2 linked regions of the Alligator mississippiensis genome follow. Each later gene encodes a partner of the first gene's protein in a complex. Links are inferred from orthologs where the notes say so. Each region holds a gene or a part of one and is shown on either strand. Other genes may lie near its edges. The genes, in order: PRKG1 and CNN1.

Evidence for each region.
Region 2: PRKG1 (region 1) and CNN1 share a complex: the UniProt entries of both Homo sapiens proteins name them as parts of the cGMP kinase signaling complex. The link is inferred for Alligator mississippiensis from reciprocal best matches to the Homo sapiens genes PRKG1 and CNN1.

Annotation. Positions count from the first base shown.
Region 1 is NC_081829.1:65,210,480-65,219,532, reverse strand, and holds the start of PRKG1 (cGMP-dependent protein kinase 1), read left to right. Parts: upstream 1-5,516; 5' UTR 5,517-6,034; coding exon 6,035-6,345; intron 6,346-9,053. UniProt on the Homo sapiens protein: Serine/threonine protein kinase that acts as a key mediator of the nitric oxide (NO)/cGMP signaling pathway. GMP binding activates PRKG1, which phosphorylates serines and threonines on many cellular proteins.
Region 2 is NC_081831.1:22,524,207-22,532,501, forward strand, and holds the start of CNN1 (calponin-1), read left to right. Parts: upstream 1-4,916; 5' UTR 4,917-4,987; coding exon 4,988-5,050; intron 5,051-7,865; coding exon 7,866-7,987; intron 7,988-8,120; coding exon 8,121-8,187; intron 8,188-8,262; coding exon 8,263-8,295. Other genes in the region: TLC domain-containing protein 4, read left to right, coding at 603-757, 895-984, 1,461-1,519, 1,669-1,763, 1,953-2,026, 2,257-2,542. UniProt on the Homo sapiens protein: Thin filament-associated protein that is implicated in the regulation and modulation of smooth muscle contraction. It is capable of binding to actin, calmodulin and tropomyosin. The interaction of calponin with actin inhibits the actomyosin Mg-ATPase activity.

The sequences.
Region 1 (9,053 bases):
TTCCAGCCTGCAAGGGCTGCTTGTCCCTCCCTCTTCCCCCCACCCTGCCCCACACGCTGGGGGTGGGGTACAGTAGTTCAGGAGTGAAGGGCACTGGGTCAGGACTGACCATTGATGTGTACAAATGGGTCTGGCTACAAGCAAGGTTGAGAACTGCTGCCTTAATGTGCTGATATAGTTTACTATGTAATGTGGGGCTTGATAACCAGTACTTACGAAGGATTCCTCAACTGGAAGAGCAAGCAACATATTGTTAAATTAATAGGTGGAGAAGGTGTGGAGAATTGGGCTTAACTTTTTTATTTATTTATTTTAATGGGGTAGTACTGTAGATATCCCAAACACAGAATTGTTACTGAGAATACAAACAAGTTAATGTAATAAGAGCAGTAATACGAGCAAGAGGAGGAAATGTAAGAAATGTATTGATTTCACAATTGCCCTGTGGTCAACTGGGGACAGTAGAAGACGTGCTAATAGGCAAATATGTTAAGTCTTATGACATATTTGGCTGTTTGTGGAAATCTTTGGATTCTTTATCTAATGGTTATATAAAATATATGTGAATTTTGTTTAAATACACACAAACAAATCCAATATATTGTAATTTTTCACTCAAAAACTGTCATTGGATCTTAGTGTTGTAATGGGGACCATTAGAATCTCTCATTTTTATCCATAATTTCAGATTATATTAAAAATCTTTTAAAGTAATGATCTCATTTATTATTATAGCTTATGAAACTGAGAAGTAATTCCTGGGGTACAGTAAACTGAAGATGCAGAGTTTTAGAATAAGTATTGTCAATTATTTGTTCTAGAGTATCATAAGTGTGCATGATGCTTCATAAAGCATACCTGTCCTGACTGTTTACCTTTTTGCTAGCATTACTGCTGGGACAATTTATGGAGTTTTTATTTTTTACAAGTATTGTATAAGTTTTCACACCTAAGACATGAATTTGAGAAAATCTAAATAGTATTGTCTTATTATTTGTTTATTTTTATTCAAAAGTTGTGCAGGGTGGCAGTTAGTCATCTGAAATACTGTCTTGTTCATCTATGCATAAATATTTAGGAACAGTCAGCATGGATTCACCAAGGGTGAGTCATGCCTGACCAACCTGATTGCCTTCTATGATGAGATGACTGGCTCTGTGGATACAGGAAGAGCAGTGGACGCGATATGCCTTGACTTTAGCAAAGATTTTGACATGGTCTCCCACATATTCCTGCAAGCAAGCTAAGGAAGTATGGGTTGGATGAATGAACTGTAAGGTGGATAGAAAACTGGCTGGATCACCAGGTTTAGAAGGTAGTACTCAATGGCTTGATGCCAGATGGCATCCAGTAATAAAGTGGAGTGTCCTGGGGCTAGTTTTATTCTACATCTTCATCAATGACCAGGAAGATGGAATAAAGTGCACCCTCAGGAAGTTTGCAGATGACACCTAGCTGGGGGGGGGGGGGGGGGGGATAGTAGATAGGTTGGAGGGTAGGGATAGGATTCAGAGACCTAGACAAATTGGAGGATCAGCCCAAAATAAATCTCACGAGGTTCAATAAGAACACGTGCAAAGTCCTGCACTTAGGACAGAAGAATCCCATGTACCATTGCAGGCTGGGGATCAATTGGCTAAGTAGCAGCTCTGCAGAAAAGGACCTCGGGGTTACAGTGGACAATAAGCTGAATATGAGCCAACAGCATGCCTTTGTTGCACAGAAAGCAAGTGGCATACTGAGCTGCATTAGTAGGAAAATTGCCAACATATTGAGGAAAGTGATTTTCCCCCTTTATTTGGCACCAGTGAGACCAAATCTGGAGTACTGTGTCCAGTTTCGGGTCCACCACTGCAGGAAGGATGTGGACATATTGAAGAGAGTCAAGCAGAGGACAATGAAAATGCTTAGGGGGATGGGGCACATGACTTCTGAGGAAAGTCTGAGGGAGCTGGGCTTATTTAGTCTGGAGAAGAGGAGACGGAGAGGATTTAATAGCAGTCTTGAGCTACCTGAAGAGTGGTCCCAAAAAGGATGGAGCTGGACTGTTTTCAGTGGTGGCAGATGACACAATAAGGAACAATGGTCTCAAGTTGCAGTAAGGGAAGTTTAGGTTAGATATTAGGAAAAACTCTCTCACTAGGAAGGTAGTAAGACACTGGAATAGGTTACCTAGAGAGGTGTTGGAATCTCTGTAGTTGGAGGTTTTTAAGGCTCGGCTAGACATGGCTGGGATGAGCTAGTTGGGGCTGGTCCTGCTTTGAGCAGTGGGTTGGACTACATGCCTCCTGAGGTCCTTTCCAATCCTAATTTTTATGATTCTGTGTGTGGTACAGATACGGGGGGGTGATTGATTAACCCCTGGATCCGAGCAGGCCGGGGATGAAAGGGTTTGGAATCTTGTTTCCCTTTTTCTTTACTCTTCCCGCCCAAGAAGAATCCGAAGGCAAAATAACAAATGAATACTTTACTCACACTACTGAAGTACACGGACTCGCGCTGTTGATGTACAGAGTGTAGGCACCTTCAGTAAGAGTTACACCGTGGAGCACATAAATGCTCTGTTCACAATTCCGCGCCGGCAGTTCCCTTTTACAATAACTTCCAAAAACAAAACAAACTGTAGGGAACCCGAGAGCTCTTCTCGCATCCAAAAGATGCAATTAACCAATATGGGGGCGTCCGGGGGGGGAAAGGAGCCGTGGACGCAGGACCTCGGTGAGGGTGATCAAGCCTCTCAGATATTGTGTAGGTCCCGCCTTCTTTTTCGCGGGGTCTGCCTTTTATACTGCCCCAATAGCCAATGGAATCAGGTCTTTTTTCGCGCGCTCAACGGGCTGCATAAGCCGGGGATTTTGCTGCATGCACCAATCGCGCTGCTATTAGGCTGCACCCCGCTGCTTTCCCTACGCCGCGAGCATAACTTGCTCTCATGTCCGGCGTTTGGTCACCTTTTCTTTATCACACCGTGTTTCTGTGAAAACCACACAATGAAAAATTAAGTGTGTTTATTGAAAGAAGGGAACAGATACTACATTTGTTTTAACATTGGATTCTATACTGTATGCTTCAAGATTGCATCTGCCTTACTCATCTTTAAAGCAGGAATGTTGAGAGAGTAAATCGGGCCGACTGTGTTTAAGTGGGGGAAATAGATGGAGAAAGAGGTTCTGAAGTTAAAGCACTTAAAATGTCCATGTTTTGAAAAGATCAGCAAAATTATGGTAGTGTTAGAATGATTTTGTCACTGTGATGGCCCAGGAATTAAGAAATAAGTTAGTATTTCTGAGGGTGATACCTTTTATTGGACCGGCCTCAGAACTGGGATAATTAGACAAGCTTTAAAATGCAAGACATTCTTTGTCAACCAGATTTGAGAATGTCTTTCTCTAAAAAGCTTATCTGACTCTACCCCAACTATGCAGTTGGTCCAGTAAAAGATATCACCCTAAGAAATCCTTGTCTCTAGTAATATTATGTCTCTTATGCCTAACACACATGTGGCAAGACTTTCAACTGTGGCATTTTAAACTGAAATGCATTTAAAAAATGTGTAACTGTTTTTAATGTGCTTTGAAGAAATATATCAAGTACATCCTAGAAGATGGGTCAGAAAATATTAATGATCCAAATCCTTTTAAACATAGTATTCAATAAGGAATTTGTCATGTTTTTTCAGTTATTCATTTCCATCAATATTATAAAGAACTTCATTTGTAGGTGGAAAGCTGAGGCTCTGAAGTGAGTCAAATATCGGTATTTAGGAGTAGAATAATATATAAGTTGAATCTAACTGAGCCTTGTCCATTTTCACCCAAAAGCACTAAACTGTACTATAAAAGCAGAGAACAAAATTAGACACTCCACTCCATAAAAAAAACCCTTTTGAATCCTGATTCAGACCAGTGCATGAGTTCTGCAAAAATCCATTTCTTATATCCTGCCCCTGTCAGCTTTAGCTTCTCATTTCTTGGGTTCTTAATGCCTGAAAGAAGAGCAGAAACAGGCATTCCTAATGCACTGAAAACATGTTAACTTCAGCTATCCATGAACACAGCAAAACCCCATATCTAGCACCTGGACGCAGCTGGACTATAGCAGTATTTATCCCACCCCCCAAAGCTATATAATCCAAACAGAAAACAAGTATAACCACTCCTGTTTCACACAGCCAGCACTTAAGTTCTGCTGCATTTTGCTGTTTTATGGTGCCAAACCACTAATTGTACAGTCAAAACACTTTCCCTTCTACAACAGAAAAACCTGTGCTTTGACACATCCTGTGCAAGCCATAAGAAAAACACTTATTTGGCACCTGGATGTTGCTGGACCAGGCCCCTTCTATTGCCTAAGTGTAGAAATCAAATGTTAGTGCTTCGTCCTAGCACATGCATGTTTGATAAATCATGCTTGATAAATCCAAATGTGCACCTGGATGGAGCAGTTTAAGCCAGCGTACCAGTGTACCAGTATAGGGATTTTTCTCTGGAAGTAGTTGCATGTGTTTTGTTATTTAGATTACAGTATGGGGGAGGGGAGGAAGGCAAAGGGGAAAAGGGACCAACACTTGCCAGGAGTAAGTAGGATTCCTCTTCCAGACAGGATTTTTTATTTTTACGGGACAACTGAAATTGTATGATGGCTCTTGAAAATTGGTAAAACCAAGGAATTGTAAGTGGTGTTCAGCCAGGATTTGGTTGGGTTTGCACTGTTCGGTGAAGTAGAAAGATACTCATTCTCTACCGAGCTAGTGAAATAGGAAAGATAGGAACTAAGTAAATCTGGATCTGCAGGATTTTGGTACAGATGCCATTTTGATGCCTTTGTTGTCGGATGTATCTAATTGAGATACTTGGGGCTTGCACCCTGGGAGCAGCTAGCCATGTTCTTTCTTCAAGCAGTGTTTATTTGGGTGATTACTGTCAGAACTGGTCCAGTTCAGTAGCATTAAGATGACATCTGGTTTGGAAGCACCCTGTAACCAGGATGTGTGACATGCCTGCTTTTTGGCTTTAGGGGTGGGACTGTGCCTGTGGGGTCCAGTGCTATGTTCCAGACCAGAGTTTCACTGTGCCTGGGGCAGGGGCTGCCAGGCTTTCCTTTGGTGGGGCAGGAGGTCCTCCCTGCTCCCCACACACCGGGTAGAGTTGGAGGAAGCTGGGCTTGCCCTGTTGAGCTTCCCACCACAGGAGCAAAGCTTGTGCTTGTGTATGTCTGCACCCTAGGGCTTCAGCTCCCCCCAGATCACTGGAACTCGAAGGCTTTGCTCCCTAGCAGTGCTTGTTGCCTGGTTTTCCTGACGGAGACTTAAGGAGTAAACAGACAGGAGTGCAAAGCCGGCCGGGGATGCCCAGGCAAAGCGGGGGCGTGTGAAGAGGACCGTGGGGGCAGCGGAGATCGTGGTTCGTGGCCGGTTTCCAGGGGCAAGGCAGGCACATGTGAAATGCTGCGCCTCGCCTGAAAGCCCGAGCTGTGAGCGGCAGGGTCTGCCCCTCCGCCGCGGGCTGGAGCTCGGCTCGGCTCGGCTGCGCTGGCCCCGGAGCGGCCCCCCCGGTGCCAGAGGCAGAGGGAAAGTGCATGTGCTACGGCATCCTGCAGACGCCCCTTTCCTCCGTGCCCCCTCCCCCTCGGTGAGTGTGTGCCTCTCTCCAGTCTTAGCCTGACGCAGGCAGATCGAAATCACCTTTCACGCCCCAGCCTTCAGCGGAGTGGCGCCGCTGGGTTTCCCTTTCGGATTATGCCTCTAATCCTCCTCCCATAACCGAGCGCGGAGCGCGGCCAAGTCACCCCGGCGCGGCGCGGCGCGGCGCGGCTCTGCTCGGCGCGGCGCGGCGTGGCGCGGCTCGGCGCAGGCTGCCGGCTGGGGGCTGGGGGCGTGCTTCAGGGGCGAGCGGCATTTGCCGGCGGCAGGTCGATCCGGAGCGATCGGCAAAGTTGGCCGAAGTGGGAGGCAGCGGCCACTTGGGGGAAAGTTGCCGGGAGCGCAGCGGACGAGCCAGGCTCCGAGGCAGGAGCCGGCGGGCCGAGGAGGAGCATGGGCACTTTGCGGGATTTACAGTACGCGCTGCAGGAGAAGATCGAGGAGCTGAGGCAGCGGGATGCTCTCATCGACGAGCTGGAGCTGGAGTTGGATCAGAAGGACGAGCTGATCCAGAAGCTGCAGAACGAGCTGGACAAGTACCGCTCCGTGATCCGGCCCGCCACGCAGCAGGCGCAGCAGCAGGGCTCCGGCACCTTGCAGGGCGAGCAGCGGACCAAGCGGCAGGCGATCTCCGCCGAGCCCACCGCCTTTGACATCCAGGACCTCAGCCATGTCACCCTTCCCTTCTACCCCAAGAGCCCACAGTAAGCAGGGGTTAAGCGTTGTGTGCATCTGGCATCCTGTCTTTGGTCCTTCAGTGGTCTGTATTGTCTGTCCATCCACTTGTCCAGGCGAGTCCCTGCACCTCCCGCTTGCCGTGTCTGTTCTCCTGCCCGCGGCTGAGCCCGCGGGTAACGCTGCGGGCCGCTCCGGGGGCTGCCCTGTCTGTCTCGTGCCCTGTGTGTTTCCGCATTGCTGCTGCCTCCTGCGCCTCTCGCCTTTCCTCCCGCTCCTCGTCCCGGCGCGGCGGGGCCGTGCTGTGCGCTCCCGCGGGGCCGCGGCTCGGGGTCCCCCCGGGGTCGCGGGGCAGGGCAGGGGGAGCCGGGCTAGAGCTGCTGCTCCCTGCCCGCTTGCACACACCGTCCTCCGGGCCTCACAGCTCAGCCTCGAGCCTGCGGGAAGAGCCCGGCGCGCTTTGAAACAATGGGCGAGCGGAGCCCCGCGGTGCCCTGCTCCGGGAGCGCGGCTGCAGCTTGTTTCCTCGCCGGCTGCTCCGTCTCCCACCCGCCATCCCTTGTGTGCGTAGCTGAGCGCTGTCATCTGGCAGCTGACACCTTGCGGCCGCCCTCCTGCGTCCCCGGGCGGAAAAAACATCTTCTCTTTGGCGCCTCGGGCGGCCTCAGCCTTGTGCCCTTCCCGGCCGGGGTGAGGAGCCGCTCCCGGGGGAGGGAAAGCCGGCGGCCGGGCGGGGGCGTCCAGCCAGCAGAGCCCGCGGCTCCTGCCCCGGCTCCACACCGCCTCAGGGAAATCGCTTGGGTTTTTTGGGCGAACACCTGTTGAGGGACGAGGCCTTCTCTACTCCCCAAGTTTGGAGAGAGGGTGGGGAAGGCAGACAACGGCCAGGTGTGCGGACAGTTTATAGCCCTGGAGCCCGTCATTAGGTCTTATGGAGGGCTCTGGAGTAATAGGCATCAGGCGATTGATTGTAGTAGGAAGGAGAATGAGGAGGCAAGAGTGGGGTGAGCAAGGATCAGTCTACACAAGATAGAGCTTGTCTTCAGACTCCCTCCAAGTCCTGCTGGAAGTGATCCACAGCTTGGCAGGCAGGGGGATGTGGAGTGACTGGGGAGGTAGAGCTGAGGAGCCCCGGGCAGCTGTGGGGATTTCCTTCTTGGCTGAAGTTCGGTTCAACTAGGGACCAGCCCAGAGGGAAGATCTCGAGGCTGGAAACCTGTGCGGTGTTTTCATCGCATTCACGGTCTAAGCAACACCCTTTCTCCCACAGTTGTTGTGTCCTCTCCACCCTGCTGGTTGGGAGCTTTTCAGGGGGGAAAAGCCCTGCACGGCTATCTTTCTGCAACTATATGTTGCTTGTCCCCAGAAGAAAGGGTGAAGGGAAAGTTTGTAAGAAATCTCTTTTTTAAAGCTTTTAAATAAGTCTGTCCTGGTTTTACACTTCCCATCAAAGACTATGCAAACTGATATGGTTTTCTCCATTAAAACACAAGGAATATCACATCCCCCACACTACTTAATTATCTCTATAGCTACCCAATAAACCTTGATGTATTTGGTTCAATCATCATGAAAAAGCTTGTATACTTTTTAATTCACTTCTTACATCAAAACACATCAGGAGCAGCTTCATTTCTTATCAGCATGATGATCTCAGAACCAGTCAGGTTGAAAATAAATGCATTTTGTGTTGAGTGTAAGTGTTTTACAGCTGAACACTCAGAATTAGGATATTCTTCATACCGTAAGGTAAGAAGTGGTGTGGATGAGCAAAATCTCCTAGCTGAAGTGCCATTTGCTAGCAATAAACATAATTGTATATCCTTTTTCTATTAGATTCAGATCAGTGCCTGCCTAATGTTCTTTTTAATTATTTTGTGTGCCCAAACACATTTGTCTCATCTAGAGTCGTCAAATTTGTCTCATTAAGAGTTAAGGCTTGGGATCCCTTGCTTGGGAGATGGCTTTTTGCTGCTCGAACTAGTCATACATAGGCTGGAAGGCGAGAAGGGACCTCATTAAGTCAAATCTGATGTTTATGGCTGACATTTTCCTAGCGGTATTAGCGACTGGCGGAAGGAGGGGAGGGATTTCTTTTTCATAACTTGGTTTGTTGTTAAGCCGCTTCTTGTAGTAGCTCTTTTTCCATGCAGGCATGTGAAACAGGGCAGTCCTTGTAGCTTGTCATGACACGTGGTCAGGGCCTTCCTTTTGGTTTGCGTGGGCTTTTCTCTTGAAAAGCTTTTGAAGACTGACTTACCCCCATGAAAAAGAACAGTTTGCAGAGCAATCAAATGAAAATACAAGTTCCTTTCTTACTGCAGCCGGATGGAGGGACTGGGAGCTGCAGAACTGATCTGGAAATGTGCAAGGGAGCTGTGGACTCACAGAATTGATCCTTCTTGGAAAGTAGTGCCCTGGAGTAGCATTTAACAGGAAATGAAAGGAGCTTAAATGAGAAATCGGGTCATTGATTATTTACCGTCCCCTGTTGCAGTTCAATGTCACCCACCTTCCTATAGACCCCCTGGTTTGTGATGCCTTAGCATCAGCCCTGTTTTAAATCTATGAAACCCACACATGCATTTCATATTAGTTTTAAATATGTTAATTCCAAGGCTTTCGGCAGCTTGTGAAATCATGTCAAGTTTAGTACCCCTGCTTTCAAAAAACAGAACTGAGATAGAAAGTGTTGTTCAGAGTCGACAAAAAAAATGTCTCCCCGGTACTTAAGGAT
Region 2 (8,295 bases), on another chromosome or scaffold:
CTCCCAACCCCCCCCCGCCCCGCCCCGCAGCCGTGGCCTTTGCTCCCGGGGGATTATCTCCGCTCAACCCCGCACACGTGGCCGGACAAGGGTCGCCGGGTCTCGGTGACAGCGATGCAGGGCTGGGAGGACCCTGGGTCCTCTGGGCGGCTGGGAGCACGTGGGGGTCTGGGAGCCCGGACTCCTGGGTTCTGCCCCGAGCTGGGAGAAAGGGGTAGAGGGCGGGGTGGGGCTGAGGCCGAGGGCTTCTGGGTCCTTTCCCCAAGCCGAGGAGGGGGCTGAGGTCCGGGGGAGGGAGGGGGCAGCACCGGGCTGGGCGCCAGTTGGGCCCTGGTCCCAGGAGGTCCCCGCCCCCCACCCGGGCAAGGCTGGCATCTCCGCGGCGCTGCCGCTGCCCTGGGGACACCGCGGCTCCGGCTGCCCGGGAGAGCGAGAGCCAGGGACCGTCGGGGGTGGGGGCGGCTACGGGTCCGGAGTGAGGGGCATCAACAGCTCTAAAGAGGGTGCTGCAGGTTGGGAGTGAGGGGTCCCGCGGGGCTGCGAGTCAGGAGTGAGGGGCCCCGCCGGTCGGCGCTGACGCGGGCCCCCACAGGCCCCCCGCCATGGAGGACTCCACTCGTTTCGGCTACTGCGTGGTGGCCGCCAGCTTCGTGGGCTTCCAGTTCTGCTTCTCGGCCGTGAGCCCCCGGCTGTCGCTGGCGCTCTGCCCCCCGTACTGCGCGCTGCCCCCCGCCCGCCGCATCGAGTGGGACTCCAGGTACCGCCCCTCCCCCGGCCAGGATCGGGCCCCCGGAGCCAGTAGAGAACCCAGGTGTCCGGGCTCCCTGGGCCCGAACGTCAAGGGATGTCGCGGGGGTGACCTGTCTGTCCGTGACATCCCCGCGCTGCCCCCAGGTGCGTGTCCACTCTCCACGCGCTGCTGGTCGGGAGCTTCTGCCTCTACATCCTCTGGTACGACGCGGCCGTGAACGCGGATCCTATATGGTGAGACCCCCCCCCCCGCCCCCCAGTGCCCCTCATTCCCGCCTCGCAGACCCCCCCAGCCCTGGTAATGCCCCTCACTCCCGGTCTGCAGCCCCCTGCCCCCCCCCAGCCTTGCCAGTGCCCCTCACTCCCGACCCGCAGCCCCTCGCTCTGTAACCGCAGCCAAGTCCCCGAGCCGGGCAGCTTTCCCAGGCCCTCTCTGCCAGCCGTGGCAAGAAGGTGGGGAGCGTGGGAGGAGGTGCCAGGCCTGGGCGGGGGGCGGGCGTCACATGGCACCGCGGGCATGAAGAGCCGTTTTGTGCTGGGAAAGAAAGAGCTCCTTGTTCCCGCGGCCGGAGTTGACCGGGGGGGAGGACGGAAGGGGGGGGGGGGCAGGGGCCTGGCATTGAGGGGGAAGCTGGGACTCCAGGGGGTGTACTGTCGGTCCCTGCGAGCTGCCGTCCATGAGCTCACCCCCCCCCATCCTGTGCCCGCAGGGGCGACCCCCGCCTAGTGAAGCTGAACGTGGCCATCATCAGCGGCTACTTGCTCTATGGTACGTGCCCCCCCCCCCACCCCTTGGAGCTGAGGGGTCCCCCCCTCTGAAGCAGGTCTGAGCCCCCCCTCCGGACCCCAGAGCAGCCGGGGGTGTTTGCAAGGGCTAGACCCAGGGGGGTGACCCCTCCTTCTCACTCCCGCCCCTAGACCTGCTGCTTCTCGGCCGCTACTGGAAGACGATGGGAGACGCGCTCTTCGTGTGTCACCACGTGGCGGCGCTGTACGCCTACGGCTACGTGCTGGTCAGTGTGGGGGGGAAGGGCTGCGGGTCAGGAGTGAGTGTCACCGGCTGGGGCAGAGGGAAGGGAGCAGCGGGCTGCTGGTCGGGAGTGAGAGGCACGTTTCAGCCCGTGGGGGGCTGTGGGTTGGGAGCGAGAGGTACCGGGTCCTGGAGGGGCTGGGCAGGGGCTGACGGTGTCCTTCACCTCCAGAACCGCGGGGTGTTACCGTATTTCGCCAATTTCCGCCTCCTCTCCGAGCTTTCGACCCCCTTCGTAAACCTGCGGTGAGTTTGGGGGCATCTGGCCTGGCCCGTCCTACAGCCCCCTCCCCAGCTCTGCTGCCCCTGGGCGGACCTCGCTCCAGTCTGGGGGAGTCACTTCTCTCCCCCAGCACCAGGCGCAGGCTCTCAGCAAATTCAGACAGCGAAACCCCGCCCCCTTTCTCCTCAGCCAATCCCCTGGCGCGGAGGAGGGGGCGGGTCTTCTTAAAGTGACAGAGCCCCCGTTGTGGCAGGTGGTTCCTGGAGGCGGCAGGGTGGCCGCGGGGTTCGGGGCCGGTGCGGGCCAACGGGGTGGCCATGGCCGTGGCCTTCTTCTCTGTGCGCATCGCAGTCATCCCCACCTACTACGCCCGCGTGCTGGCCTGGCACGGCACGCCCGAGTACGCCCGCCTGGGCCCGGCCGTGCAGGCCGCCTGGATCGGTCCCAGCCTGGCCCTGGAGGTCCTCAACCTGGTCTGGATGTACCGCATCCTGCGGGGCGTCTACCGCGCCTGCCACGCGCCCCGCAAGCAGCTCTGACCGGGGACCCTCGCGCCACCCTTCCCCCCCCCACCCCCCGCAATGACCCGGACCAGCATCCGCGGAGCCTGGGGGCGTCTAAACTGGAATTGCCCCTGGGAGCACCTGAGTTGAGTTGGAATTACCCCTAGTGGGGGGCATCTGGCTAAAACTGTCCCCCCCCCCGGGAAATCTGGATTGGAATTACCCCCCTGAGGGCATCTGGGCTGGAATTACCCCTCTAGGAGCATGAACTGCTCCCCCCAGGAAACTCTGAATTGGAATTACTCCTCAGGGGTATCGGGGCTGGAAGTGCTCCCCCCCTGGGCCTTCTAGGCTGGATTTACCCTCCCAGGCATCTGGGCTGGGATTACCTCCCCAGGGGGCAACTAAATTGGAATTGACCCCCAGGGGCATCTCGGCCCGTGTGGCCCTCCCTCGATCCCTTCCAGCTGCGGGAGCCGTGCAGAAAAAGTAGCTCGGGGGAGCCTACCACCGCCCCCGTCGTGCCACTGCACCAGCCTCGTGCCCCTCTGCCAGGCTGCGTGCCTCAATTTCCCCGCCTACAGGGTAGCAGCCCTGGCTTTCATCAGTGCCTTCCCTGGGACCTCCTCTGCTCCGGGGCCGGGAGTATCGATCCTGGCGGGAGGGGCCCCGATCCTGGCTGGGTCCTTGAATTGGTCAGGTCTCTCCCTGCCTCAGTTTCCCCCCCCCCCGGGGGATGTGCACCCCACGCCCCAGGCCTCGATCCTGCGTGGACCATGTCTCACTCCCCCCCCTCCCCCCACGATGGTGCAGGGGGCGGGGCGGGGCCGACCCCGGGGGTCCCCGGCATATGCGGGCGATGACGTCACCACTGATCGCCAAGGGGGCTATACATGGCCATGGTGCACGGCGTAGGGAGCCCCCCTACGTCACCGTCGCGTCATCAGGGAGGAAGGGAGAGGCTGGGCTGTGATCTCACTTTAGGGGTGTTCCCCCCTCATGAATAAATCACCAGATGCTAATAAGCCGTGCACGCCCCCTGGCGGCAGGGGACGGAACTGGGGGCGTGGCTTGTTGTGTGATGGGCGTGGTTTGGTTGAGGAGGGGCGTGTCCTGAGCACGCCGCGAGTGGGCCATACGGCGCTGTATGGACCTGGCACCGCAAAGCCCCCCGGGTTGGCCCGGCCCGGCCCGCGGGCTCCATTCCCGTTTCCCTCCACCCCCAGATTTATGGCGTGCCAGGGCCAGGAGGGAGCCGGACTTATAAGGCAACAGAGCCCAAGGCTGGGGGCGGAGCTTGGCTAGGACGCCTGGGCTCTCCAGAGACGGGGATCTAGTGGTTACAGTTCTGGGGAGGGGGCCTGGGGCCTCTCCACAGCTCCAAATAGGAGGTGGGGGCTGGAAGCCTGAACACCTGGGTTCCAACTAGCTCTGGGAGTGGGGGTGGAATGCATGGGACTAGAGCAGGGGGTCTTGGGAGCCGGGATGCCTGGCTTCTATCATCAGCTGTTGGGGGGTAGTGGGGAGGCCTGCGATCAAAGCCGGAGGACCTGGGGGTCAGGACTCCTGGGTTCTGGCTCTGGGGGTCTGGCTCCCAGCCCCAGGCTCTACTACTGTAGAGAGGGGAGAGCTGAGATTGGGGGGGTGCTGCTGAACAGCTCCCCCCAACCTGGCATGAGACAAGTTTGCTGGGTCTCCAGCCCCTTCATGCAGCATGCCCCCCAATTCCTGGCCCCTGGCTCACTTCTGTCCTGGCCCCATCCTCTCCTGGACTCTTCTTGGGGGAGTGGGGAACACAAGCACATCCCACTCTTCCTATCGGGGCTGATTCAGCGCAGTCCAGTGCAATGAAGGGGTATGGGCTTATGTCGGCCGAGGGGGGAGGGCCTTGCTCCTAACCCCCCTTGCCTCTCCACAAGGCCCCTACTCCATGGGGAAACTGAGGCAGGGGGCAGTGACCCCCCCCACCCCCCCACAGCCTGAGTGAGGGCATGGTGAGTGGGTGGGAGAACCCAGGTGCCCTACAGCCCAGGTGGCTACTTGATAAGTATGGGGGGCTGGGAAAGAGAGGACCCCAGGGTAGCCCCCCGGGGGCTGGAGAAGACAGGAGTTGAGGAAGCTGGGAGGGAGGAAGAGAGAAGAGGAGGAGCAAGAGGGGAGCATGGGAGGGAGGAGAAGGGAAAGCGAGGGAGAGGAACAGACAGCAGGGGAGAGAGCAGGGATGGCGGGAGCAGGAGGGGGGCTGGGGGGCAAGGGAGCACCTTGCCCCCCCTCTGCCCGCCCAGGCCTGCCCCCCCACCTTGGAAAAAGTGACACCATCCTGCTAATACCAGGGGGCTGAGATCAGCTGGGGGGGAGCCCCGCCCCCAGCTTGCGGGGAGGGGAGCGGGGGTTGGGTGGGGGTGGCCGGGCCCAGCCGGGGTCTTAAGGGCTGGGGCAGCAGACGAGCAGCAGCTGGGCAGAGCAGGTCCAGACAGCAGCATGTCCAGCGCCCACTTCGTCCGTGGCCCAGCCTATGGGCTCTCCGCCGAAGTCAAGAGCAAGGTAGGGCCCCAGGACTGGCCTGGGGTGCTGCTTCCCCCAGCAGGGCCCTGGGGGGGCACATGGGGCCTGGGAGATGATACTGGGGTACATGGGGCAGTGGGGGGGGGGCAGGCTGGGGTGGTGGCAGGTCCCAGCTCAGACTGGTCCCAGGGCCTGAGGATTGGGCCTGTTCACTCTTAAAGCACCACAGTGCAGTTTGGGGGCACCGCCAGGATGGACATGGGGCAGACCCCCCTGGGGTCCCCTGGCTGAGGGGTTTGGGGGCAGCTTGGCACCCCTGAGAGGATTCATCCCCTCCCCCTCTATGGGACTAACCCACAGTGGAGGCATCTCACCCCATTTACCCCAGGTGGGGCAGGGCCTTGCTGCAGCTGAGTCTGGGGAAATGGCAGGTCAGGATGCCTGGGTCTGTCTCAGTGGTGACTGGCCCCTCCCTACCCCTTGCCTCAGTGTCCCCATTGGTGATAATGTGGGGCAAATCAGAAGTCAGGGGTCAGAGGTCAGGGCCTGTGTTATCCATTCACTCTTTCTCCCCCCCCCCGGCACACCAGGACAGAATGCAGCCACCTCTGGGGTGGGCGCAGCCAGCAGTGGAGTGGTGGGAGTGGGATAGTGAGGACTGGCTGGAGCTGACCAAGTGCTGACAGACAGATGGACTGAGCCTCCCCCCCACAATGGGCCCTCAGTGCCCCCCAGCCCATCCCCACCCCTGGCGGGATGCTACCATCCTGCCCATGTGGTGGGTCCAGCGAGGGTTTAACACACACACACACGTGTGCACACACATGTACACTCGCAGCCCTCACACCAGCCATGCCCAGTGCTTTGCCAGTGACCCCCTCACCCCCCTGACCCCTGCTCCCCCCAGCTCTGGCTGCCTGGCTCCCCCTCCCCCAGTCCCCCCCAGTCCCCCCAGTGCCCCCCCCATCCAGATTCCTGCTGGAGCTGCTGCCCATATAAGGCCGGCTTTGGGGAATCTCTGTGGCGCAGGGAGATGCTATATAAGGCCTGGAGCCACATTCAGACCCTGGCGCAGGACACCCCCGCCCCTAGCGCCCCTGCCAGCTGGCCAGGGCCCTGCTCTGACCCCCCCCCAGGAAACTGAGGGACCCCCTAGTGGGGGTACAGTGACTCCCCCTAACCTCCCCCAGCCAGATGTGGGCAGGTGTTTGTTCTCAGTGGGAGGGTTGAGAGCAGTGGGGGCTGAGAGCTTGGACGCCTGGGATCTTGATTCTGGGAGGAGGTGGGGACTGGGGTGTTAGAGCAGGGGGGTGTCCCTGGAAGCTTAATACCTAGGTTCTCCCCAGCTCTGGGAAGGGAGTGGGGGCCTGGCAGGTGAAAGCAGGTGAGGCTGGGAGCCTGGACACCTGGGTTCTCTCCCAGCTCTAGGTGGACAGTGGAGCGCAAGGGTTAGAGCAGGGTGTGGGAAGCCTGGATGTCTGGGATCTGTATGTGCTCTGGGGAAGTGGCAGCCCAGGCCTTCGCTGTGCCAAGGCCCCGTGGATGTAACCGGGGAAACCAAGGCCTAAAGAGATCAGCCCGCTTCCCACCCCGCCATCAAGGAAGCAGCACTGTGCGCTGGGATGGAACCCAGGCATCCGGAGTCCCCATGAGAGCTCCCCTCCCAGAGCAGGGAGAGAACCCAGCTGTCTGGGCTCCCAACCCCACCTGCTCTTACCTCCCCCCCATCCTACTACCCTCCCAAAGCAGGGAATGAACCCCCCCACCCCCACCCCATCAGCCCCAGCAATGATTCACCCATTCCCCAGCACTGCTGGGGGGGGGGGGGACACCCAGTTTGGAGGGGGGCAGGACAGGCAACCGCATGGGCAAGGTGGGGCTGCCTGGGGTGGAGAGGCTTTGCAGGGGAGCAGAGCTAGGGGTAGGGGGTACCAAACAGCAGGGTCTATCACCCCCTCCCCCCCAGTTCCTATGACTCCCTCCCCCGCCCCTTGCACCTAGGGCCAAGTCTCCAGCCCCATTTTTCTCCCTAGTTTGGTGAATTCCTCCCACCCAGCGCCTGCTGCTTGCTTTGGCAGGCAGCCCTGGCACCAAGCACCAGGAGGGGGAGAGGAAAGGGGCGAGGCTGGCCTACCCAGCTCCGCTTCTGTACCTCAGTTTCCCCACCTGGTGCCAGACCCAGGGGGCTTTGGGCACAGAGCAACAGGAATCCCCAGGAGTGTCTACGGGATGCCAGGGCTGTAGCCGAGGTGGGGAGAGGGGAATGAGAACCAAGGCATCCTTGAGCTGCACCCCCAACCCAGCAATGCTTCTCTCAGGGTGGGAGGTGACATGAGCAGCACTGGTCTCAGCTGGGATCAGGCAAGGCCCCAGCGCAGTGCTAGCAGCTTGTTAGTGAGGAAACATTCCCCTAAGCCCTACAGACAGTGGACCAGGTCCGGTTTCAAGCCTGGGCAGGCAGGCAGCTGGGAACAGGTGCAGTGGAGGCCTGACCTCTACAGGGCAGAAGGGGATGGGAACCCAGATGTTCAGGTCCATCTTGGACACCCCCACCTTTCAAACAGCCTCAGACCTTGTCCTAGCCTGGAGCTGGCTACATCTCAGCCATGCCAAGGATCATCCTGGCACCAGGCATGGGAGCCTTACCCCCTGATGCCCCGTAGGCACTGCGGGCTCATAAACCAGTCAGCCCTAGGCTGTCACTTTTGGGGGAGGGTGAAGAATCCCATGGGGGGGCATATGGAGTCTAGTGTCCCCCACAGGCACAACAGCCCAGGCTGGCAGGGTGCAAAGGGGTTCACTCTCAGTGCAATGGGGGGCCAGGCTGACCTCTGACCCCTGTCCCTCCCACCAGTTGGCCCAGAAGTATGACCCCTTGAGGGAGCAGGAGCTACGGGCCTGGATTGAGGCAATGACGGGCCGGCGCATCGGGGACAACTTCATGGAGGGGCTGAAGGACGGTGTCATCCTGTGCGAGTGAGAGCTGGGGGGGTGGTGCTTGGGGAGGGGGGAGGGGCACCACTGGGAGGCACCATTCCCCAGCTGTGCTATAGTGACTGCCTGCGCCCTCCTCGGAAGCAGTCACATTTCAGCCTCCACCTGTCCACAGACTCATCAACAAGCTACAGCCGGGCTCTGTACGCAAGGTGAATGAGTCCACACAGAACTGGCACAAGGTAAGTGGGCAATGCCATGGGGGGGAGGGACAAGGGGTGGTGACTGGCAGTGACTCTGTGTCTGTCCTGTGGCAGCTGGAGAACATTGGGAACTTCATCACTGCCATC